Linked DNA regions of Oryzias latipes. The protein of the gene in region 4 purifies or fractionates together with the protein of the main gene of each other region. This does not show direct contact. Links are inferred from orthologs where the notes say so. Each region holds a gene or a part of one and is shown on either strand. Other genes may lie near its edges.

Evidence for each region. Proteins that work in one complex are often made in the same cells at the same time.
Region 1: the proteins of eps15 (region 4) and fcho2 purify together in Homo sapiens (affinity purification with mass spectrometry; 3 studies listed by BioGRID and IntAct, with this or other methods). This does not show direct contact. The link is inferred for Oryzias latipes from reciprocal best matches to the Homo sapiens genes EPS15 and FCHO2.
Region 2: the proteins of eps15 (region 4) and gap junction alpha-1 protein purify together in Homo sapiens (affinity purification with western blotting; 3 studies listed by BioGRID). This does not show direct contact. The link is inferred for Oryzias latipes from reciprocal best matches to the Homo sapiens genes EPS15 and GJA1.
Region 3: the proteins of eps15 (region 4) and AP-1 complex subunit beta-1 purify together in Homo sapiens (affinity purification with mass spectrometry; 3 studies listed by BioGRID and IntAct, with this or other methods). This does not show direct contact. The link is inferred for Oryzias latipes from reciprocal best matches to the Homo sapiens genes EPS15 and AP2B1.
Region 5: the proteins of eps15 (region 4) and ap1b1 purify together in Homo sapiens (affinity purification with mass spectrometry; 3 studies listed by BioGRID and IntAct, with this or other methods). This does not show direct contact. The link is inferred for Oryzias latipes from reciprocal best matches to the Homo sapiens genes EPS15 and AP1B1.

What each region holds. Positions count from the first base shown.
Region 1 is NC_019870.2:5,317,085-5,322,075, reverse strand, and holds the start of fcho2 (F-BAR domain only protein 2), read right to left. Parts: upstream 3,457-4,991; 5' UTR 3,285-3,456; coding exon 3,252-3,284; intron 1-3,251. UniProt on the Homo sapiens protein: Functions in an early step of clathrin-mediated endocytosis. Has both a membrane binding/bending activity and the ability to recruit proteins essential to the formation of functional clathrin-coated pits.
Region 2 is NC_019882.2:10,601,027-10,606,163, forward strand, and holds the start of gap junction alpha-1 protein, read left to right. Parts: upstream 1-1,681; 5' UTR 1,682-1,804; intron 1,805-3,587; 5' UTR 3,588-3,603; coding exon 3,604-4,782; 3' UTR 4,783-5,137. UniProt on the Homo sapiens protein: Gap junction protein that acts as a regulator of bladder capacity. A gap junction consists of a cluster of closely packed pairs of transmembrane channels, the connexons, through which materials of low MW diffuse from one cell to a neighboring cell.
Region 3 is NC_019872.2:25,023,609-25,028,792, forward strand, and holds the start of AP-1 complex subunit beta-1, read left to right. Parts: upstream 1-1,728; 5' UTR 1,729-1,859; intron 1,860-5,053; 5' UTR 5,054-5,071; coding exon 5,072-5,108; intron 5,109-5,184. UniProt on the Homo sapiens protein: Component of the adaptor protein complex 2 (AP-2). Adaptor protein complexes function in protein transport via transport vesicles in different membrane traffic pathways.
Region 4 is NC_019862.2:31,374,308-31,379,190, reverse strand, and holds the start of eps15 (epidermal growth factor receptor substrate 15), read left to right. Parts: upstream 1-1,667; 5' UTR 1,668-1,733; coding exon 1,734-1,844; intron 1,845-3,945; coding exon 3,946-3,987; intron 3,988-4,523; coding exon 4,524-4,613; intron 4,614-4,690; coding exon 4,691-4,738; intron 4,739-4,839; coding exon 4,840-4,883. Other genes in the region: calreticulin, read left to right, coding at 116-325. UniProt on the Homo sapiens protein: Involved in cell growth regulation. May be involved in the regulation of mitogenic signals and control of cell proliferation. Involved in the internalization of ligand-inducible receptors of the receptor tyrosine kinase (RTK) type, in particular EGFR.
Region 5 is NC_019867.2:12,656,678-12,661,835, reverse strand, and holds the start of ap1b1 (AP-1 complex subunit beta-1), read left to right. Parts: upstream 1-1,702; 5' UTR 1,703-1,805; coding exon 1,806-1,832; intron 1,833-3,677; coding exon 3,678-3,738; intron 3,739-5,158. UniProt on the Homo sapiens protein: Subunit of clathrin-associated adaptor protein complex 1 that plays a role in protein sorting in the late-Golgi/trans-Golgi network (TGN) and/or endosomes.

The DNA.
Region 1 (4,991 bases), on a different chromosome or scaffold from region 4:
CTCTGAATATGACCACATCCAGACAGAATATGCTCCTTTTTGCAGAAAATGCTGTTTCTGCAAACATAGTCTGCAAATAAAAAAAGAAACCCACAGAACTGTGAGACCTGAGCGTCGGGACTTCTGAACAATCAATATTTATGTCTCTTCTTTTTGAGGTCCAGAACTGGGGGGTCCAGGCAGCCCTTTTGCCTTCCAAACACCCCCCACAATTGCATCTCTACATGGATGGGATACCCCTCACCCAGGGTAATTAGCAGCAAGCAGGGCAGAAGTAAGCAGAAAATGCTGCTGCAAAGTGGATATGGACACAACTCTCCCAGGTCTAACAAAGTTTGTTTACTATTTTCTTTTGTTGAGCTACATTTGAGGCAGCAAACACAATTATTTCTAAGTAGCTTTTACCACAGAGCCATTTAATAGACTAGTTCACAGATACAGCAGTGTGGCCTTAACTCGTTAGCAGACCCACAAACGGCGTTACTACAGGTGTGATTCTGACTTTGAATGTGGCTAAGTCTTGGTTTTGCAATTGCCGTGTTTGCCTTTGGCAGTCAGATCTGTGAACTGGTCTATACAACACCTGAAAAATGACTTTGACCTGCAGCAGGTGATTCGAGAACATTAAAAATCACCTGTTGGAGGGCCCCATTTCCCAGTGTTATAAATCTGATATCTAAACTCATAACCCCAAGACACACAGGCTGTAACAGATATACAAGCGATGGGGGTGTTGGAAAGATCACAGAAGGGCTGATCAGCTTGTAACCCTCCTTGTTTAAGGGGAAACACAAGCAGTGAGGGTAAATAGACGCAAGAAACCATATCAGTTTCAAGCACAACAATAGGATCTTGACTATTTTCTGACGGATCTCACAGTTCTCCACAAATAAACACAACTTTTTAACAGATCTTCTGCTAAAGCCAAAAATGGAAAGAAATATGAATCGCATCATCACTTTCAAACACGTTTCATGCTTGAGTCTTCACAGGCTGTTTCATAACTTCCGTACAGACGATGAGTGACAGCCTATTAGACCACACACAACATAAAGACTACAAGGGAGAGGGGGGGGGGGGGAGCCATCCTGTTGGCTGTATCAACACTGTTTGCTTATCAAACTGCCATCTTATTTTCCCATGACACTCTGCAGGCTGAGTGACGACAGATTAAACATGAACTCGCAGGGACTGCCTGCAGCTAAAGCCCTCCATGCACTGGGACGTCCAAGCCCCTCCGCACATGCCACACTCAAAGTGAATGGACAGGGAGACACAAAAAAGGAAATGAAACTGTCTGGAAATCAATCCGGAGGGCGGAAACGTCGCAGCTGCTGACCAGTCAAGTGCTGCAACTTTTGAGGGGAAAAACAACATAGCTGGAGCAAACCTGGCTCCTGAATCGGATCATTTGTTTTCTCAGCTGGTTAGGAATATTTAACATTGCAGATTAAAGATTTCATAGAAGGAAAAGATGTATGAACAGACCACAAAGTGTGGAAATAATCTGTGCAACTTCCTACTCCTTTTGCAAGAAATAAATCTGCAGCAAAAATGTCTAAGTCAGCCAGATAAATGTGTGCGCTCTAGCAGTAAAGATTTGCAGGCGAGTCAAACTGGAGATGGATGTGTCTCCTAATGCCAAGTATGTGCATTTGTGTGCCCTGCATGCTAAACGCACAGCTGATTGCTGCCATCACTGGATTCTCTTGTGGCTTGCTGCGGAGCACAAAGAGTAGATTGAAGCATCAGGGGTGAGGGCTCCGAAGGTTTCCATTCGGTTAATGATGCAGTCTCATTTAGAGAAAAACACTGGATAACATCACTGTATCGTCTAATTACATAGAGACGTCTGGCTTAAGTTCAGTTCTAGAGCTGCTTTGTTATTTCAGCTTCCATTGAGTTTTTTTTATCCTTGAATGCCGGTATCTGAGGCCTGAGGTTACTGGTTTGCTGACTTTAAGACCCACTCCCATAAAAAATCATGTTTTTGGTGTTTTTAGCATGTTCCTGTGGCATTTTTCTGATGATGGAGGACATATATAAAGGAAATTAAGCTTAAATTACATTTCGGAGTATTTCTTTACTCAAATCGTTGTGAATCAGGAGCTGACAAAAAAATGCTGTTTGAAAAGCAGCTAATGTTGTCAGCTTGGGTGTGTCAGGGGCTGTAAGCTAGCGGGAGAGAGTTTAAACAGAGGGATGATGGGAAACGAGGGCAGGCGTACTTCAGACCAACAGTCCAAATAATTTCCGATGAACTCCTGCCGCTCTGCAGAAACAATATCCTAGAAAAAGACACAGTTTTTGTTTTGGGCTAAAAACCGCTTAATCCTAATTAAAAGATCCCTGGGAACTCTTTAATAAAAGATTTTAAAAAAGATAATCAGAGTTGAACTTTAAACACAGAAAAGAAAACAACATTAGTCCAGATTCAGATCAGCTTATCTTCAACTGATCTGTGTAAAAGAGCAGGTTTGGCAACAATTAAATATACAAAAAATATATCTGTCTGTCATGGTAGGAATGTAATAACACAGTCATAAAACCTTCCCTAATGTTACCTATAATTGTTTTTTTTTACCAAATGGCAAATATTCAGCATTAACAACACATACAAGTTGTATAAATGCCAAGTTAGCAATGTAAGATTAGCTAAATGAATTTAATGAGTCCCTAGGAAGCACTGAAAACAACAAGTGTAACCTTTAAACCTGCTTTAGGAGGGCCACGTCCAAAAGTAATACATGTTTATAGATGACCATTAGCAGCAAATAGACAGACCCATTTTCTGAGTAAAAGTAACGCGCACTACAGTTAACTTTGTGTCTTTTTAGGTAGCTTTAAACTAAACATCTGGTCTCTCCCCAAAGCTTAGAAAATGACGCGTCAAAGGGAAGGCTGTGACTGGCAGATTAGGTGTCCAATCGCATTCTTGGAATTGACCGTAAACATTCCAAGAGATCCAGACGCAACCAATTAATGGAAAAGGGGGGTGGGCCGTTGGAGCTCTAAAGTTAGATTGGCTCATTGAGGCCCAAACGAAGGTAACAGCCGAAGAAAACTAGCGATAGCCGCGGGGCTGACCGGTTAGTCTGTCGGCCCCTGAAGGGAGCGTCTTGCCCGCCGGGGCAAGTGTCCGGCTGTCCCCGCAACGTGAACACGACGTGACGGACGTGACAGAAAGGGAAGTGTGAAGATCAGCGCCGGTGTAAACACCGTGAACATCAAAAATTAAAAGTAGGACCTACCCAGAAATTCTCTAGGAAGTAGGGCGTTATCATCTTGCTCTTATCTCCCGTGCCGCCGCTCTTGAGTTAGCTGTATTGGAGGTTCTAAGAGCGAAAATCATCCGCCGTCCTGGCCCGTTTGTGTTGTGTCTGCCTTTCCCCGTTTTCCTCCTCTCCCCTTTCTTCTCCCTTTCCAGACTCCACCTCCCCTCGGCTCTCTTCTCCTTTGGTTCCTTCCAGCGCGACAGAGACTTCGAACAAAACAGCGCAACCTACGGCCGAGTCGAGCTCAAACCAGCGACCCGAGATCACGTTGGACATCAAATAAATAACCTCCTTGATCATATTTTTCTTTTTTTCGATACAAAGATTATAAAAAGAATGTTTACATTAATTTGACATATAAATAAACTCTCGAACGGTGGTTTAAAGTTAACGGTAGAACGCCAGCCGTCTTTTAAATCTCACAGACAATCAAAAAGGTTGACCAGTCACCGTTGCTATGACTACGTAGGACATATGGATTTTCGTTGGTTGGGAGTTCATGGCGAAGCATGCAAGGTAAATCTTAATAAAAACTTTCATTCTCTAAAATGTAAAATGAGGAATCAACGTAAACCACCATGTCATATTAATATTATTTACTTATTTATTTACAAACTGTTGTAGCTGTTGTTGTTTCTCAGTTGTTTTTTGTTCTTTAAAGGTTGCTTTTGCTGTGTATTTTTACTTATTTATTTGTTGTTTTTTATTTTTTTATTAAATTAACCTTTTCACTTCATCCTCTGTAAATGCCACTTCTTTTTTGCTGTTTGTGGGAAACAGCAAAAAAGAAGTGGATCGATCGATCGATCGATCGATCGATCGATCGATCGATCGATCGATCTATCTATCTATCTATCTATCTATCTATCTATCTATCTATCTATCTATCTATCTATCTATCTATCTATCTATCTATCTATCTATCTATCTATCTATCTATCTATCTATCTATCTATCTATCTATCTATCTATCTATCTAATATTTAAAATGATTTAGAAAAGTAATGACATATTTGACCAATTCTTTGATGATCAGACAACATTTCTGTCATAAACAATTTTTAGTTATATTTAATCATTTTTTCATTCCAGGAAACTTTGCAAATCTGTTTGCCTCAGCAATAACACTGTTTAAAAATAAACAAATATTAAGTAAATACGTAATTTTATTTATCCCTCTGGTTCTTTTTCAGTAATTCTGAGAAATGAATGATTCTGTTCAAAGTCAGTTTTTACCAAGAAATGTTCCCACTATAAAATGTTCAACTAGTGAAATTGTATTCTATTCCAGAGACACATGTATATAGATTATTTTTATTTTTAAGGGTATATATATTAAGATTTTGTTTATTTCATCTACATAAGGGCATTCATACTCTTCCACCCCCCTGGTGTGCAACAGTACAATTTCCCCTGTAGGCCTGTATAAAATGTTCAGTTTCACTAATTTTTCTTTTAAATTACCAAAAAAAAATTTGGGACAACTGTCTGAAAAAGTAAAAAACAACAACATTTTTTTTTGTTTTCGCTATAATCATAGAAGCATATTGGCTCCAAAGGTTAGGTTATTTATTCCTGTTATTTATTCCGCTGTATAAATAAAAGGTGCAACATTTTATTTTTTATTTATCAGGATGCCTTTTTTTTAAATAAAATTTTCCATCCATCCTTTTCCGCTCATCCGGGTCGCAGGGGCAGCAGTCTAACCAAAGATGC
Region 2 (5,137 bases), on a different chromosome or scaffold from region 4:
AAACACCCTGGCTCAGACTTGTTCAACCTGTTGCCCTCTGGGAGGCGCTACAGAGGCATCCAATTTAAAATAAACAGACTCAAAAATAGCTTCTTTCCCAAGGCAAAAACCATACTCAAATCCAAAACACCCAGATAAAATTTGCCACAGCACTTGCCAGTGTATATGTCTATGTATGTGTATATGTACATGTGCTTATTTAGGTGAACTGGTCAACACTTCCCCCCCCTCCATGCTGTTTTAGCACATCTGACATGTTTATATCTGTACATATCACTCTGCACATTATTATAAAGAAAATAATAATTAAATTACAATGTAATTATATTAAATATATAAATATACATATAGTTATATTACATTGTTTATACTGACATGTTTTATATTATACTTTGTTAGATTTGCTTTTGCACTAAAATGGAGACTACTCCAGTTTCATTGTCCAGGTGGACAGTGACAAGAAAAGCTTTCTATTCTATTCTATTGGTGGATAAACTTTAACAATTGATTGTTTTTAATCACTTCCACCACTAGGTGGCGCTATTGACTGCTACTCAGTTAACTGTGATTTCTCAGAGGGACCATTCAGTGTTGGTAAATGTCACCACACCGATCACATGATCAGGAACCTTTTATCAGACAGTTCTGTTCTCCAGGACCTGCAAGGTTTATCTGGAAGACCTTTTGCTGCTCATTTTAGTAGTTTCTTTAGTTTTTTTTTTTTTAAAGAAAAACAATGAAACCATATAAAAATGAAATAGATCATGATTAAGGAAATTAAAATCAGTTCCAATAGTTCAAGATTAGGTAGATAGATAGATAGATAGATAGATAGATAGATAGATAGATAGATAGATAGATAGATAGATAGATAGATAGATAGATAGATAGATAGATAGATAGATAGATAGATAGATAGATAGATAGATAGATAGATAGATAGATAGATAGATAGATAGATAGATAGATAGAGGGAGAGAGAGATTACATATTTTTCAAGTTCTTTAATTGTTAGCAATTTGTTAGCAACCTCCCTTTTTAAATTAATGGGAAAAAGTTATATTTATTTTAAATATCTTCATAAATCTCCTGATTTGATTCATTCTCAAAAAGAGTTAAATAAATAATGCTTTCTTTTGGTTTAGATCTAGTCAATGAGCCCAAATGTAGGAATTATTTCTTTCTATCAACTTCTGCAATAGTGACTTTCTGTTAAACAATGAGGAAACTGAGATGATTATAGCCCACAGTTTAATAGTTTATATTATTAGTTATTCTTTATAATGGATGGCACAACATTTTTTTACCCACATATTTGCTACAGTATATCACAACTCCAGTTATGTTGGCCTAAGTTTTTAAATGTTAAAAATAACAGGATCAGTGTGGTTTTGGACCTGTCAGCTTTGTCTTCCTGCATTTTTTTCTTCTTACAAATAGTTTAAATCTAAAGTTTATACGTTCGATCACTGCAGAAATTATATTAATGTTTAAATAATACTGGAAAAAAGAGAAAAATAAAAAAAACGTAACTGTGTTTTGATTTGGTCCCTGAAAAGACTAACTCCGGCCCTGGCCCTTCCAACCTTCTAGGTGAGCGGCTGCGCGTACAACCCCGCGCGCGCGCGCGCACTCTCGCGCCTCCCCCCACAGGCTCTTGACGTGGATGTGGTCACGTGACTGGACCTCCTCTTATAGAGTAACTTTGACAGTTTGGTTCAGTTCGGCTGCGGGGCCGGTGCGCGAGTCCAACCCCTCCCCACAGGACTGAGACACGGCGGACACGGTCTCTCCGAACGTCCAGGTGAGTTCTACTACAGTCCTGACCAGAACCAGGCAACTCTTCTTTCTTTCTTAATGCAACATCTTCACCAGTCTTCTTGTTGAGGACCAGATAGATGGAGGACACTTTCTCCTCTCAGTGTGCGCTCAGGTGAGCGGTTCTGGACGGGTTTCTCCGTGGTTCCCTCTGAAGTGGATGTGGGTTGTGTGGTGGAGAGGAGCCTTGGGCTCCTCCAGAGGACCTTGTCAAAGCTCTGTAGCGCTTTGTGCTGCTTTCTCTGAACTCATTCATGCAGAAAGTGGCGGGACATTGTGTCTCCTAACAGTCAGCAACTGTTCTTCTCCTCCCGGACTCCTCAGGAGTTGGACCCTGCAGAGCTTCCAGATAAGTGAGAGCACATGCAGAGAATTGAACCAGCCTGCAGCTTCCTGCTCATCCACAAAGGTCTTTCTTGTGAGGCCCACTCTGAGAATCTTTTTATGTGTCACATGCACCAGCATTTAATGTCCTGTTGGGTTGTTTTTTTTGACCTGATGTTTCCATGAGGTCAGTAAAGTCTGCAGATCCTCTTTTTTCATGATTTACAGCTGGGGTTTTACATGATGCACCTCCAGTGCTTCTGTCTGACAGTCAGAGTATCTGAAAGCCTTTCAAGGACCTGTTGTTGTATCAGTCACATGAAAAAACAACATTCTGCCTCCTGTTTCTGCATCTGTATTGCAGCAGGATTTCTCCTGGGCTCTTGATGCCCCGACTGAACCCCGTCACAGCACAGAGGCTCGGGCGGCGCTCAACCAAGCCTCCTTGTGTTAGCTGTCGGCATCTTTTTTGGTCTTTCTGTCTTTCCTCTGGGGCCACATTCTGGCTCTTGACGCTTACATTCTTTTCCAGTTTTTTTTTTATTAAGGTAATTTTGTAACAGAAGTGGTTTGATGCATATTTGCACCCAAATGCGCAAAGGGATTAATGCACATTAAGCGCCAAAACTTTTACAGGATGAAGACCTGAAGACCTTTAGGGACCCAGTCAGCTGGAACCAACCAGAACCTTCAGTGTTAGAGTTATTTTTTGATTTGTGGCTCCACCATTGAAAGTTCTGATCAGTTTTAAAACCCAACTGTCTGAATTTATAAGTTTTGTCGCCTTCATTTCTGCTAAAAGTGTCTAATAGAAAACAAGATGATGAGAGTAGTTCCACAGCGCTTTGATTCAGCAGAATCTGAATGTGTTTTCCATTTTAATTCCTTTTTTCCAAGCCAGTCTGGATTTAAAGTGAAGCTCTTAAGGAAAAGAACAAAAACGTGCTCTTTGTCCCCTGCTCCACTAATTGGATTAGCTTGTTGCGTCATTAAGCATTTCGTTTGGTCCCCTTAAGTTCTCCTTAATTACATAATCCTTCAAAAAAACAAACAAAAAACTAAAGTTCTTTCAATTGAATTAATTGTTTCCATCAAACATATTAATGTTTCTCAAAAAAGAAAACCTAATTTTAGAGGATCTCCACATCCGATTTATGATTGTAAATTAGCAAAACCCAACTAAAATTAAGAAAACGGATTATAATGCAACACTATTTTATGCAAAAACTAGAAGTTGGAACAAACTGAGAGAACAGTGAGTGGAAAAGTGAATTGAAGCCACAAATTTTCCGTCCAAAGTAATAACTCTCAGTTATGTTTCCTGTAAGATCTTATCACTCTCCTTTGCTTTTATCCAACGTCTGGCTGCAACTCAGCCAACACTGAAAGTTTGTTTGACTTCACGACATTGTCAGTTCAACTTCTCTCTTTTCTTCTTCCACCAGCTAACACTCCCCAACGATGGGTGATTGGAGTGCTCTGGGTCGTCTGCTGGACAAAGTCCAGGCCTATTCTACTGCGGGTGGGAAGGTCTGGCTGTCCGTGCTCTTCATCTTTAGGATCCTGGTTCTGGGTACCGCAGTGGAGTCGGCCTGGGGTGACGAGCAGTCGGCTTTTAAGTGTAACACCCAGCAGCCTGGTTGTGAAAACGTCTGCTACGACAAATCGTTCCCCATCTCCCATGTTCGCTTCTGGGTGCTGCAGATCATCTTTGTATCAACGCCCACGCTGCTCTACCTGGCTCACGTTTTCTATCTGCACAGGAAGGAACAGAAACTCAACAGAAAGGAGGAGGAGCTTAAAGCCGTTCAGAATGATGGGGGTGATGTTGACATCCCGCTTAGGCAAATTGAGTTAAAAAAAATGAAGTACGGCATTGAGGAGCACGGAAAAGTGAAGATGAAGGGAGGCCTCCTCAGAACTTACATTGTGAGCATCTTCTTCAAGTCTCTGTTTGAGGTGGGCTTCCTGTTGATCCAGTGGTACATCTACGGCTTCAGTCTGAACGCCGTCTACACTTGCGAGAGGGACCCGTGTCCTCACAGGGTGGACTGTTTCCTGTCGCGGCCCACAGAGAAGACCGTCTTCATCATCTTCATGCTGGTGGTCTCTCTGGTCTCTCTGATGCTCAACGTCATCGAGCTTTTCTACGTCTTATTCAAGAGGATCAAAGACCGCGTAAAGGGAAAGCAGCAGCAGCAGCAGGCCGGGCTTTTCCCCGGGGGAGGAGGAACTTTGAGCCCCACCCCCAAAGAGCTGTCCACCACAAAGTACGCTTACTACAACGGCTGTTCATCCCCAACCGCCCCCATCTCACCCATGTCCCCTCCAGGCTACAAGCTCGCCACAGGGGAGCGTGGAACCGGCTCCTGCCGGAATTACAATAAGCAAGCCAATGAGCAGAACTGGGCCAACTACTCTACGGAGCAGAACCGGCTGGGTCAAACTGGTGCGGGAAGTACCATTTCAAACTCCCACGCACAAGCCTTTGACTTTCCTGATGACACCCATGAGCACAAGAAACTCACATCATCAGCGGGACACGAACTGCAGCCCCTGGCGCTGATGGACCCCAGGCCGTGCAGCCGGGCTAGCAGCAGGATGAGCAGCAGAGCCCGACCCGATGACCTGGATGTCTAACGGGCCCTGGCGACCTTACCGTTCTGCCTGGCCGACAGGATGTGAGGCTGCAGGCGGACAATCAGGCAACACTTGATCAGAAAGGGTCATGAAGAAGGTGGGACTAACCTCAATCACTGTCCTCACGATAGAGACTGTGTGTCAGTCAGAGACATTAAAGCTTCAGTGTAACACTTTCAAAAGGTACAACTCGCAACTATTTTGTCTGTACTGTAACTTTGTAGTTCCATTAGTCCAGCTTTAAAAAACACAGCAGCCATAGGGCTGGTTCAGAACACGGAAAGCCGGTTCATCCTTTACCCATAAGTTTTCAAAATCTTTAGACCACCGCCGTGGAGCTACAGCCGGCGAGGGG
Region 3 (5,184 bases), on a different chromosome or scaffold from region 4:
CAGACTCAGAATTTTGCAAAGATGACTCTCTAGTGACCGGTCCAGTGAGCATCTGTGGAACATTTCATGTTTTAAGGATTAATAAGTCACTTTGTCAGGTTGTAATGATGCAAAACATACATCAATCCACCAAAATGTGGAAAAAGTGACCACACCTGCCTTAGAAACTACAGGCAAATTTCACAGCAGTTTTTAATGGCTAAGGAACTTGTTGAAAATCCACTCGGGAGTTTTTTTTTGTTGCAATTAACTCTTTTACAAGTTCTAAGCTGCTTTTCACCTCCTGCCCTCTACAGAAGCTGCTGCGCTCATGTTCTGCCAGTACCTACTGATGTACGCAGATACGAGAAATGTTCTGGTGCTGTTTAAATCTACTAAAGCTTACTTTTTACTGTCAGAAATAGCCTAGTGATTAACAGAATGAAGCTGAATTAGCCACTAACCAGGAAAGCCTTTGTGTCGTTTCCCTACATCAACGGGTCTATTTGGGGCAAAACAGAGACTCTTGCTTCATGTCCCTCAAAAGGATCTTCTCAGAGCTAATCTCAATTTACCTGACCCTCTGCTGCTTTACTTTAACCTGGTTCCATGAAGCACCATACCAACTTTCAGTTAAAGACATTTAGCTTTTTTCTCATTTAAACTCAGTTAAATTATTATTGATCTGCCCCTTAACAGTACAAAACTATTGTTACAGTCTACTGTAAAAATAGAAATTGAAATCCTCCTGAAACATCTTTTTCACAAATCAAGCAATCTCTATAGTCTTCTCCTTCTTTTTAGAGCCGGTCTTAAGGATCTCGTCATTCTCATTTGATCAGCCTATGCACAATTTATGCATCTGTTCTTTTGCTATACTTGATACAGGGATGAATGGTGCTTGGTTCAGAATAGGATTTTAAAAACGATGCCAGTTTGGCTAAAAGAGATCATGTTCTCAGGATTACTGTCAGGAAAAAAAAATCAGCTGATTTTAATTTGTTGGGGTAGTTTTTGCATTTTATTGCATATAATTCTACAAATAAATGTTTTTGCTACAAAATATTTGAAGTTTCATTGTTGTTATACATTTGTTATTTTAATTAAAGCAACATCCTTTTTTTTTTTAAAACAAACCCAACTTTTTATGTCATTTTTATAATTTTGAAGCCACACTGTATATAAGTTACAGGTGAAAAATAAAGTATTGGTTTCATGGATTGTGGTAGTTGACCCTAATGGGCTTTTGATAAAGCTTAATTGATTTCTTTGCTGTTTGTATGCTGTTTCTCAGTGAATATCAAATGAAAAAAAAATAGATTTTTATCTTTTGTGAAGCGTCATTTAGTTAAGAAACTAATGCATTTTATTTTTAGAGAACGTGTTCTTTGATTTTATGAGGATTTACAACACTGACCTAGGTTAGAAAGGCTTTTATGTGCTTGCAATTTAATCTTTAACTATGTAAAAAAGATTGTAATTTGCATTTTTTTCTTTTAAACTATCAATAATATAAACACCTGCAGTCTTGCACGTTTACTTGTTAAAAGTAAGATGCTCTGATAGTTTAAAACAACAAAACAACTAGCAAATAAAAACACCAACATGAACATGGCTTAAAAAATTGTCATTAATTAAGCTTCATTTTTGTTTTAAAATAAACGGTTGGGTCAGAGTTTGTGCTCCAAATCATGAAAAAAAAATTGATTTCATGTTCACACGCCCACTTTTCTGCACTCCAGTAGGAAGTTTTCCAGTTTCCTACGATCGTGAACTCACCATCTATATCCCGATTCTCCATCTTTTTCCCCACCAAGCACAGGACCAACCTACGTCTTCGACCTCTTGGACTATTTTCCGGCTCACGTAACCGCAGCCAGGTATTGAACATGAAACTGTTAAAAATGAAATACAAGTAGATATCTACACGTTTGTTTTGATTATACTTTTGAGGGAGGTGGCACAGTGACAGTCCAGCGGCAGAGTAGCTCCGTTCGTCGGTCGGTGATGTGATGAAACTGGGCCGCTTCTCGCTATTCATTTCAATGTGGAGGTTCGACTGAAAATAAACGCGTCACATACAGTTGCAAAGAAACTGTCGAAATAAGTACCCTGACATTTGTGTAAATTTGCATTTTGACACTTCGTCACTGAAGTGTAAAGGACGATGATGGTTAGCCTTTTTAGCTAATGCTAGCGAAGTGTAACGGCTGTGGCTCAACTCTAGCTAACGTTTTGTTTCGGAGAGGACAAACGGTGAAAAATGCCGATTTTGTTGTCGCAACTTGTAAAAGATTATTGGTTTAGCTTTCAAACCGGAGCGGCGAGTTGAAACCGGAAAACAAATTTGCTTAATGTGCAAAAATTAGCAGCATATCGCTCCGTTGTAGAAGAAGTTAGGGCGTGCAGCCACCATCATTCATTATTGGTAAACGTGTTACTTTTGTTTCTTTGTGGATTTATTGTAAAGACTCCGATATTTCCCGCTCAGCCGTAGATCACTAACTATCATATTTATTTATTATTGCAAAAGACAAACTGCCAATGTTGTATGAATGGTTCTTGCATGGGTGGCACTATTAAACACAAGTTCTCTCCTCATAACTTATTTATTTGGAACAACAAATATTAATATTATACAAGAAAAAATCTTTGTTTTTCCCCACATTGGTTTGAGAAAAGAATTCTACTGGTGGGCCAACTTTTTAACATGAACGGGCATTTATTAAGGTATACTGAATTCAACTCTAAATACAATCTGGTTGTGACTTCTAAAGAATATGCCATTGTGTTTGAAACCGTTTCCAAAGAAATATGCCAAATGTTTAAAACAACTGTTAGGAATGAAGAAATGCCCTCTATGGATGCAACTGACACCACCACAGGAAAAATCTGCTTTAATCCCTCACACTAGAACAAAAAACATAAAAGTACTTGTAATTTCTCTGGGACGTCATTTCTGTGCCATGTACTAAAACCTACTGGACATGTTTTGTTCCCGATGGTATTTGGAGGAAAGGTTGGAGTGTGACCCAAACATTTATGATAAATAATAAAATGAATGAAGTTTCTTTTAAAATAATTCACGAAATTTACCCCACCAATCAATTCATGCTAAGATGCATTAAATCAATTGTACCTTTTGCAAAACACAACCAGAAACAATTGGCCACCTTTTTTGGAATTGTACTGAAATTAGAATTTTTTTGGAAAAAGTGTTTACAATTGATCAGAAATCATATTCACCCCAACTTCACTCTGAAATTTGAATATATAATTTTTGGCTTTCATAATAAAAACTTGGACTCAAATAAAAAACTCATAAGTAATCTTATTATTACATTTGGCAGATTTTATATTCATAAACGCAAATTTTCTTCCTCTTCTATATTATCCCCTCTGTTAATCAAACAAATTGAAATGTATCTCAGTAACATCTCTAAAAGCCTTAATCAAAAAGCTGTATGTTTGTATGAAGGTTGTAGAAACCTGAATATTTTTATGTAAAATGCATGTAATATGTATGCTCCCCAGGCATATCTGAAGATTACTTTGCAAAATTGTGTTTTGGATTGTACTTACGTTTTGTACAATAAAGTTTTTTTTTTAAAGTAAAATAAAATGTTGTATGAATGGGGCTTTCTTCCAATCTTACTGATAAATCTATTGGTGATGCATTTTAGGACTTCTGTAAACAATCTAAAAACCAAACAATGGCTGTTTTATTGTGAAAAACTACACCCTGCTGGACTCTTTAGTCAATATGTTGGTGTGGAAAAGAGTTGTGCATTGGGAGATATTTTCTGGGATTCTGTCCTGGTGTATTTTTGTGACTCTTGTTTAGCATGTGTAAGGCAAGGATCATGCCATTGAATGAAAAGTTATTCAATATTGTTATGCTTTGCACGCCAAATACACATGAGAGTATAAAACTGTGTATATATTTTCTTAAACACTGTGTTATCATAATAAATTATTAAAATATTCTAAAAGTCGACTTTTAGAAAAAATCTGTCCAGACAGGTTTAACATAGTCTGTCCAATTTGACCATTTCTTATAAAACCTGTCTGAATTTGAATTAAGAATGAAAGCTTTTCCATAATGTCAATATTGTGAGTATAGTGACCCACTCCTCTGTTATTGGGGTTTGCTGTTTGTAGCATCTTTTTGTTTTGCAGCTTTTTGCACTTGCTGCCAGCAAGTTATGTTAAGTACAAGCATGTTAAGTACGTTTTTATCCAAAAAGTTAAATCCATCCCAAGTCCAGTTACAAAGATATGTAGTGTTTAATAAAACATATGCACATTTTTATACGGTACTCTCATGTGTATTTGGAGTGCAGAACATAACAATATTGAATACGTTTTCATTCATTCACATAATCATGTCTTGTTCATACTAAACAGCAGTCACAAATGTACACGTAAAAGCAATCTTAAACACTTTCTGCAAATGTGTGTGGGTTTCAACCCAGTATTTTTTGAACAGCTGAACAGTCCCAGAATATATGAAAGTGCTTCCACATCTCCAGCTTGCATCTCCACTGCTCTCATGCCACTTTTGAACTGGAGTGATTTAAAAAAGAAATCTTGTGACGTTTTCCCAGCAAAATTCCCACCAATAATTTGACCTGGTTTTGACCTATTTCACCTGACATGACCTTTTGCAATCTTCTTCTGAAACTGGCAGAGTCCCATCTTTTTCCCATTTTTTTCTCTACTTATTTCTTCTGTCTCTGCTCTTGTTTTTTTTTGATTATGTGCACTGTTTTCTTTTTCCTTTTTCACTGGGATTTTCCTGAGTTTAATCATTTTTCTCCCTGATATAGTTTTTGTATATAATATTTTCCTTCAATTAAGTTTATATTGAAGAAAAATGATTCATTTTATTCAAGTTACAATAAGGGATTTCAAAGATTTTTTTTAGATATTTGTTGTGCTGAAAGGCATTGACATTTAGTAGAACAATAATTGAAACAAGTTTGTAAAGAAAAGAAAAAAAAAGGAAAGATTGTGATAGGCTGCTGAGTAATTTTCTACATGTACAATCATTTACCTTTCTTTTTTTTTTTAGCCTTTAGGGACCACAATCATGACGGACTCCAAATATTTCACTACAAACAAAAAAGGTAAGTGGTTCCGGGTAGAAAACATGCCAGTTCTTACACATATTCCAAATTAAGCTAATGTAAATAATGAAATCCT
Region 4 (4,883 bases):
TGCCTGCTCCTTAGTACCAATCCCATAATCGGAGCTCCAACGTTCCGAAAATTCCCTCTTTTGTTTTTTCAGGTTTTTTTTTTGTTTTTAACATGTTTTTTTTTTTTCCCTTCAGGATGCAGAGAGGAAGATGAAGGAAAGCCAAGACGAAGAGGAGAGGAAGAAGCGCGAGGAGGAGGATAAGAAGAGGAAAGATGAGGATGAAGAAGAGGACAAGGAGGAGGAGGAGGAGGAGGAGGAAGACGAAGAGGAAGAAGACGGAGAGGAGCCTGAACTGGAGGAAGAGGAGGACGAAAGCCCGGACGCGGTGAAGGATGAGCTGTAAGCTCAGAAACTGCTCAGACTGTGCATCAGTGGGCCGCTGGAGACGGAAAAGGCAGACCCCGGCGTCTGACTCCCCATGGGAGGGACAGACTTTTCATTTGTTTACAAAAGGGGGGGAGGGGTCAAAAGGGGCATTTCTGTTGTTTTCCTGAGCCATCACTACTATCTGTACTAGGAAAATTGGAAAAACACAATCTATTATTGAATGTCAGGATCAGAAATGTCAGCAGAACAGGAAAAATGGGATTTATTTTAAAAGGAACCTGGATTTTTAGGAAGTTGTGACAGAAACAAAAGATGGACCGTGCCGTAGAAATGTTTGTTTACCTCATCTGTTTTGTTTGTCTTTTGTTTTGTCTGTTTTTTGTCCAAAAATGGGGGATCCTATTTAAACAGAGTGGAGAGGATCTACTGCTGTTGGGGGGGTAATCTGGAGTGGAAACAGATGCAGTCGCTTCCATCAGTTTCTGTTTGACACCGTTTCTGTCGCTGCGCATGAACTGAACTCTCAGATGTGGTTTTCATTAAGAACAGCCCAGGAGCAGTAGATCTTATCAGGTTGTTTTTTCTTCATGTGAACTGCAATTCATTCATAATTTCAACTTTTCTGCACTGCTGTACCCCAAACACTCTCAAAGATGCTCCTTTTTGTAAGACTCGTTTTGTACTAATGGAAGGAAAAGACATTTCTCAACTGTTGCAGTAGAAAGGTGCTTTGTCCAATAAAAGCCACCGAAGAATTAAACCCTTTTTTCCCTGTGTGTGAATTTAAATACTCTTGTTGTCAATACAGGAAGTTGACTTGAGTATTGTCAGCTTAAACTGTTTTATAATTAAATTTCACTCGTTTTTTATTTAATTTGACATGATACATGCTAACAAAATGTTGAATCCAACTGCTGAAATTCAAAACTTGAAAAATGATTGAAGATGAGGCAAAAATCTATTCTTTCTTGGCAAATGTGAGGGATCACTAAATGTTTACATTTGTTCTTTTACTCTGAAAAAATGTACGTTCATATTGGAAATGCCAAATTTTTCTAACAACTCAATATAATGTAGATGAATGTTTATTTCAAGCAATAAAAAGAAAAATACATTAATTTTGATATCAATTTAATGAAGATATTAATAAATTGAAAAATAAAGAAAATAAAAGATGTTAAATTTGTGACATGATTACCCCTAATAATAAATATATTTGCACGGATACATACAGTAAACATTAATATTATGTTATGTTCAATTCAGTTTTATTTTATTCATAATTAGGGTGTTTTATTTTGACATGTTCGACGTGAATTGACGTCACATTTCCCTGAAAGCTGCCCGCCTCGCGCCCGTTCCTGCGCGGAGGTCCAGCTCCGGGTTTTCCAGCGAGCCCCGTCTGCGCCCTGCAGCACAGCAGAATGAAGGCAGTGGGAAGCAGAAACACTATGGCTGCCAGTCTGTCTCTCACTCAGGTAACACTCCTACAACTCAAATGTAACGGCGCCGGAGCTCTTTGGCTTCTGACTGTTGTGAGTTCCGAAACTGTAGCGGTGTTGGTTCAAGTGACCTCATGGAAACGGGGAGTTTGTTTCCCCGCGGCGTCTCTTTTTGGAAGTTTAGTCGTGCTGTGACTCTGAAAAGTTTCTGGATTCTCTTTGGGGACGGCGTAAGGGCGTAGCTAGCTAGCTAGCATGTCGGCTAACAGCTCGCCAGTGAGTGTCGGGCTGCCTCATTAAACTTCATCAACGACGCGAGGCTGACGGAGCCCGGAGGGGTTTGGCCCCGGCCTTTGCTTGGGGTGGTCGGTCCCGACAGAGTTGGGAATACGGGACGCCTGGTCTGGTGGAGCGGCTCTGGGTCACTGACGCCTCCTTTAGTTCTGCTAAAAACACCAAGTTTAAGTCACTAAGTTTGCCGCCCAGAGTTAGTTGAATGCCGATTTTCCGTGGATGTGCTTGTTTTGTATAGTTAGACTGGGTATTTAACCTGATTTGGGCTGTTTTTAGCAGTAAAGTGGGACTGATTAGACCCCCTCTGACCTTTCGGAAGTGGACGGCGTTAACTGTTAGCTTGCTAGCCGCCGTTAACTCACGAGCGGACAAACTCCGATCTGGTTGAGCTGGGGGGGGGAAAGAGGAAGTGAGCCCGAACACAATCCATGTGTGTGCTGTCACACACACACACACACACACACACACACACACACACACACACACACACACACACACACACACACACACACACACACACACACAGCCTGTTGCTTCTGTGATGAAGAACGCAGCTGTCACCGTGGGCGGGTCCTGCCTGTGTGTAACTGTAAGCAAGTTATTTAGCATGCAGAAGTCAGGTGAGGAGGTTCCTCTAGTTACCTGAGGAGCTGTTGCCTGTGGCAACCGAGGAGGTGTCTGCCGGCTGCAGCCATCCCTCCACAGAGGAGTTCATCACATGGATGTAGCTTTGAGTCCCCAAACGTGGCCCCATGTGTGCCTTTGGCCCTGAGTGTGTTGCTCTTTGCTGTTTCTTTTTTATTCTGAGTGACAGGATGATGCAGCCTTTTCTCCCCTCAGTGCTTGTTGGAGGTCTTCAGTACAATGACCACAGTGTTACAGCCTGCAACTGTCCCAGCGCCTCCATTGTGGAGGCAGAGGCTTGTGTTGCCTGCTATCTGGCAGTAAATCATCCGTTAAAGAAGGCTAAGCGATAACCGCTGACGGCCGGCCTCTTCCACTTCCCCTTTGCCACAGAGCGTTGGGGTCTGGAGGCGCTTTTTGGGTCTGGGTCTCTGCAGCTTTGAGTGTCCTGTTGAGTTCACCCATGAGACGCCGACCGCTCTCCGCTCTCCTCCTTCAGTTCACCTGTGAACTGAAAGCCTCTGCGTCTGTTTCGGCCTCACGAAAAAGGAAATGCTGATTCGTTTCCTCTTCAGGGCCAGCAGCACACAGAGGAAAGAAGTTTTTTTTTTTTTTCTTTTTTAGGAAGTTCTAGAGGAAAGATAAATCTAGTTTTGTCTACGCCGTGACAGCTTGTTGTGTATTTCTGTTTTCCACGTCGATTATGAGCTTTGGTGGAGGAAATGTGTCCTGCAGTCGGCTCTCACCGCCATCCTCTGAAGAACCTTTAATGTTTTTTATAAATATCAAGCATCAGGCGTTGTACTTTGTTGCAACCCCACCTTCAGGGTTTAGACTGCATAGTGAAAATTTAAAATGCTTTACTTTTTCCTTAATTATAAGGATAACCAAAATCTGGCTTGAAACGGTAGCCGGGTAGCTCAAATATTTCCCGCCATTTTTGTTGCACCGGTAATGTCAGGTTGGGGTATGGGGGGGCTGTGATAGCGGGAGAGAGTGTAAACAGAGAGCTCTCAGTAATGGGGAGGTGTCGCTGGAATGGTCCCGTTTACAACTCTGAGGCAAATTTCTAATAAACTTCCGTCCTTTTTCAAATTTAGGCTAAAAGCGACGTAATCGTAATTAAACATCGTGAAAACAGATCAAAGGGTGATGGGAGTGGATCAATGAACATTTGCTCTATTGGGAATTTAAGTGTCTGTGTTTGTCATGTTTATGAAAATCTGCTTTAAGGCTATAAGAACATTTTCTAACATTGTGTAATTTTCTTGAACAGCTCTCCAGTGGAAATCCCATCTATGACAAATACTATCGACAGGTATGAACATGTACTGTATCTCACAGTGGACATATCAATCTACACATTCTATGTGGTTTTGTAAAACGTCTTATTTTGAAAGTCAAAAAGTTGAGACCTTTTCTTTGTAGCTCTTACTTTGAAAGTTCAGGGTTACATGTGACTCACCTGAGATATTCCTTAGTGTTTGTCTCTTCATAAGGACAGAGCTTTGGTGTTGCAGTGAGCTCTGATCTCTTTCATGCCTCTGCAGTCAATAAAGGACATGAATTAATGATGATTTCCCTCAAGCCAGAGCTCCCAGGGATGAGCTTCAGGGAAGACGATGGTTTCCCTTTAACCCACGATGAGGTTCAGTTGTAGGGCGTATGGATTCATGGCGTTGAGCTGCTGTATGTCACGGGGCGGGCAGGAGAGCAAGGCTAAACGGAGATGAAACAAACCGCATGTTGTTTGACATCACAGCCGCTGCAATAAAACCCAGTTTTGAGAAACACGACGTGCAGAACACGACTGACGCTCGCGGCTCTGGCGTGGGCTCTTCTTTGCACGAGCAGGTGGATCCTTCTGGCAGCGGGCGTGTCGCAGCAGCCGACGCCGCCCTGTTCCTGAAGAGGTCGGGGCTGGCTGACCTCGTCCTGGGCCAGGTAGTTTTGACTTATCCAGGTTAGATTCTGATTTACAGATTGAAACCTGTTAATATTTCTACTTACTCTCTCCATAGATCTGGGATCTATCAGACTCTGAAAGGAAGGGTTCGTTAAACAAACAGGTAGAAATCCTCTTTGGATCGTCTTTTGAGTTCTAATTAGATTTGTGACCGTCAGATCGTTCCTCAGTGACTTCTGTCTTTTTTAAATTTATTTTTTGTAGCAATTCTTCATTGCGTTGAGGTTGGTTGCGTGTGCCCAGAATGG
Region 5 (5,158 bases), on a different chromosome or scaffold from region 4:
AGGGATTTTAAATAGCCAACTTTTGTCCCCTGGCAATTGGAGAGACAAATTAATGAATGAGAATTTTTTCTTATCTAAAAACTGTAATGTTTCTTCAAATGAAAAGAAATAATTGGCCTTTTTTTTTTTTACACCTTTTTAATAAAAATATACAATCCATACTTGATTGAGGCACTGACAGTAGCAACTTAAAATGTCTTTCATTAGAACTTTTTAAATGTGTTTCTGAGTGTTTCAATTTTACATTTTTTTCTGGATTGTGTTTTGATTTACTAATGGTCCAGCTCTATTTGAACTGTGAAGTCAGACAAACATAGAAGAATTTTTATTTCTCAGTCTTGTAAAGTGAGAAAATTTTTAACCTGCTCTTTGTTGTATAGAACCTTTTTTTTTTAAATTCATTTCCTTTAACTCACAGTCAGGAAATTCTGAATGTTTATTATCTTGATGCCATTTTTGCTAAAATGTTGGTGTACAGATTGCTGGATAATGTGGACGATGTGTGTAAGAAATAGCAATACTGCAACGTTTCACTTCTTTTATTTAAAAAAAAACGTATAAAGTTGTCATTGAAATAAATGTTTCATTCCGAAAATTAAAATTGTTTGAAATTTTTTATGTATTTCTGTAAATGCTCCTGTTGGTTTTCAACAAGGTGCAGTTTAGAAATAAAAAAATTAAATTGATTTGATTTGTTTATTTAACGCATTAATTGTAGACAATATAACAAAAAATCACACACGTTTGTCAGTCCCATTTCAGAAATAAAGAAATTCATTGATTAAAAAACAGAATAATCATCAAAAATGTAGGAAGACAATAACAGTGTAATTACTCGTAATCTTAAAAAGGAATCTTTGCTGTAATGCATACAATAATATAAGATCACATTAGATTAATTAAATATAAAGATCTGCCAAAAACAAGTACAGTATGAACAATCTCAAATTTAGTATTCAATTTCAATATTCTATTTTTTTTTTTTTTTTTGCAAGACTAGTAAATGCTTAAATGAATTTAGAAAAAAATCAAACATGTTAACAATTGAATTCAGTTTTTAAGAGGGCAGGAAGGAAATTTATTTTGTTGACTTCTTAGTTTTATGAAGTCCCGCTTGTGCAAGTCTAAAGTCATACGTGACAAATCCAAATCAAGTCTTAAAACTTGTAGTTAAATAAACATTTTATTGTTCACAAGTACTCAATAAATTACTTTTAACAATTTGTAGGGATACATTAACAGGCAGCTGGTGTTTCTCCGCTCCCATTGCAAAGACATTGCATGAGGACATAAACAAATGAACATTCATATGTCCCAAATCTCATGTCTCCACTCATTTTATGGGAATAAAAATGTTAAGATTTGTTAAAAACTGGTAGAACCAGATGTTAATGAAAATTTCACATTTTCCCCCTATCACTTGAATGCACGTGAATGAAACTAAGCTGACGTGACTTGTCACACTGGGTGGAAATACGGAAGTTAAACAAGTGGGAGGGACGAAGACCAACACTGCTCGTACTACGCCTTCAACGGTAAGATGTTTGAGGAGATTTCCCCTATTAATTCTTTTTGTGGTGAGCTTCATTATAGCTCCAGAAGGTACGCTAATTCCTTGGGCAAGGGCTGAATTAGGCCGACAGATTAAGAGCTTAACTATTCCGGCAAAGACTTCCTTAACCCTTACTTAGAAGGTCAGTTTTCAGCTTTGCTAGCTGCAGATGAAGTAGCCTCGCGCTAGCCGACACCGACATACCTTTAGCCTTTTCTACCAGCCTCATTCATCTTACGCATTTTCTGTAAAAATGCAAGAATGGGCCAATCAGTTATGCGTGAGTATTGTACTTAACTGCGGTTTATTAGCGGTTGTTGCGTCAACTTTTACGCTGTCGATAGCTAGAAATGTAGTTTGCTTTCCTCGTCACATTAGCCTACTAAGCTAACGTTATAGCCCGATGCTACTTAAGCAGCAAACTTTGTATATTTGTGACTCAATAAACAGATTCTAACAAAGGCATCTGCTGAAACATGTTACATTTTTGTTAGCAAAGACAACCCACTAACTATTTGAATGGGTTAGTGTTGATTTAATACGGACGAAGTCGTATTAATCGAATTACAATTAGCTACTAGAGTTGGACCGTCGCTCCGATGTATTTGCCATACGGCAACCTGTAGGCTGTTATCCAACTGAAATAATTGGGTTTAAACGTCAAATATTGTACCTAAATGTCACCACAAAACAATTAAAATAATGGTTATTAAATAACGTCAGCCCTAAATCGGTTCATTCATATGAAGATGGCCACTACTTGTAGGAAGTCTTTACTTCAATACAAACTGTCACGATTTTACCAAATATCTGAAGTTAACATTTGAAATTGTTGAGAGTAAAAATATCAAACAATATTAAAAATAGATTTTAAAATCCTAATGTGTACAAAGCGTAACTCATGTTGTTTTATCCACTAGAAGGTTTATAAACTTAAACTTGCAGAAGACACAAGAAAAGGCTAAAAAAAACAAATAAACAAAACAGGAAGATATTACTTTGAAACATTCCAGATGGAGATTTTATTACAAAAGTGTTTTTTTATGTACACATAAAATGCCACATGGGTTTAAGTGACTCTTGAAAGGGTGCATCAGTGTGTACAATAAACCCAATCTGTTTGTGAGCTTTACCATTTTGGGAAATTGCTTAATCTTTAATGCTGCCTGACTTTTATTACAGTTTTTAAAAAAAAAACTTTTAATATTCATTTTACTTTGGTAGCAGCGTCCTAATTTACTGCAACCAAATTTGTCTTTCAACAGAGGTTTGGTGACTTTGTGCTCATCTGCTTCCTCTTAATTGCTGTAATGACTAATTTGCATTATTTTGCTCTATAACAGATTGGATTTTGTGTTCATCTGTTTCCCTCTTTACTTATTGCAGCAGTTACAAATCTGCCTGTTTGTCTTACAACAGAATTTCCTTCAGTTTTTGTCTGTCTTTATCTGTTCCCTCAAATCCTAACTGTTCATGGCAGATAGAGAGCCTTCATGATGGTGGGTTTTTCCTAATCTTCTATTTAGAGAGAGGTTTATTTTCTTTTCCACTGTTAGCTTTTGCTTGCTCTGTATTAAGATTACACTGAAAACCCTGCAATGTAATCTACTGGTCACTTATATAACATAGGGATATTAATATGATATGAGATATTGTGGCCCTATTGGAATTATCTTGACTAAATTGTATTATAATAATCATTATTAATAAACTGTCCGTTTTTTGCTTTTCGTGGAGCACTTTGAGACCTCATTGGTTGTGAATTGAAATGACAAACTTGAAGAAATTCGTCTTATTAAACAAACTCTCAAACATCTATCTCCCTGAGAAAGTTGCTCTGTCTGCTGGAAGTTAGGAAACCTGACCAGGAAATACTGGGGCCAAAACGCTTTCCCCTTTTAATCATGATTGGGAGATTCTTTTTTTTAAAGGAGACATTTCATTCTGGTTTTTCAGCAAACTCCATTGATTCTTTTCCTCTCAGGTCTGCAGTATTTGGACAGTAGAAGGCAGGAAATCCTTTTAATTTCATGTGCTTGCACTTCTAGGTTTTCCTGTTATTTTTGAGATGTGGCAAGTTTCCATTGAAACAAAAACATCATCATCATCTTTCTGTGTTTTGCAGGAGAACAGACAGTTTGGATCCAAGATGACAGACTCCAAGTACTTCACCACCACCAAAAAAGGTTTGCTATTTTTTATATCGAATACAACACATTTTTTTTTTAAATTGTAGTTTTTATTGTTGTTTTTTGTGGATTTTGTTACTGGCTCAGTTGTGGGATGCTAAATTGTTGAGAAAAAGCCATACAATTAAAAAGCCATATATACAAAGTAACATTAGTATGGAGCTAATGGACATTTACTACTTCCAGAATATAATGAAGACCTTTATCAATATTCACACACCTAAATTGCTATTTAACTTTAAATGCACTGATGTCACATTTGTGTTTGGCACAAACCATTTTGCTATGAAAATACCGATTGGGTATAGAGAGAGTCGGTTAGTTCTGAAAACCACCATTTCATCACATATGCTAGAAAGTCCAAAAGTCATTTAGGATCCCCGTGAAGCTCTGGGAAAAGGCAAGCTGATGATAATTAACAACAGTAACAGCTGTTTAGGGTTGCCAAGAGCATGTTTGCTTTTATTTTACTATGACTTGTTCAAACTTGAGCCTTAAATTAATGGTGAACAGAAAAGAATCTTTTAAGAAAGATTCCCACAATGAGATGGAACCTTACTCAGAAGCAGCTTTTATCCCTGGAACCGCCATCTATTTAGTTGTATGAGTAGGAAAACACTAATCTGTAGTTTCAAAATAAAAAACACGATTAATTCATTTAGCAAACAAGAAAAAGCCGCTGCCATGCAGAGAACATAGTCAGCTACCATAACCAGAGGTTGAAGATCTGATTTTAAACATCAATGGGGCGGGTTTAAAAAAAAGTATTTTATTCAAGGCAATTTCATCAGTACTGCAAACATTTTATATCAATTGCTTTCTTTTAACTTTTCGTTGTGAAACTTTTTAACCAATTTTTTGACATTTCCATCCTTTGTCCAGTTTAATTGGTAAAATGGTTTATCTTGATGAAAAAAATAGTACTTGGATGGATTAAAAAGATAGTTATTCAAAAGAAGTATGAACTTGAGAATCAAAATTAACTAGTTTTATCATTTTGGCAGCAAAACTCAGCCACACATTAGTGTGTGAATGTGTTTTTGTGTGTGGGTAAATGAGACGGTGACTGTAAAGCGCTGTGGGCCTTCTAAGAACGTAGAAAAGCGCTTCTTAAGTATGCGCCACTTATCGTTGTACCATTTCTGTTACACATTATTTTACTGAAAATATTACATTTGGCTTTTGAAGCAAATGTTATAAGCTGAAAAGTTTTTTCATTTACTAAGGAACCACTAGCATTTCAGTGTTGTGCGTGTCCCATTTTCTTTTCATCTTGCAGCAAAAACACAAAAGATTTTAAGAAAAAAATTTGTTACATAGAATCATCTTTCATTGCTGACATTGTCCCTGTCGTCTATTATCACGTCTAGTTATTTTGGTGCACAATTTTTTAAAAAGATTACCTCCGTGTTCGCTC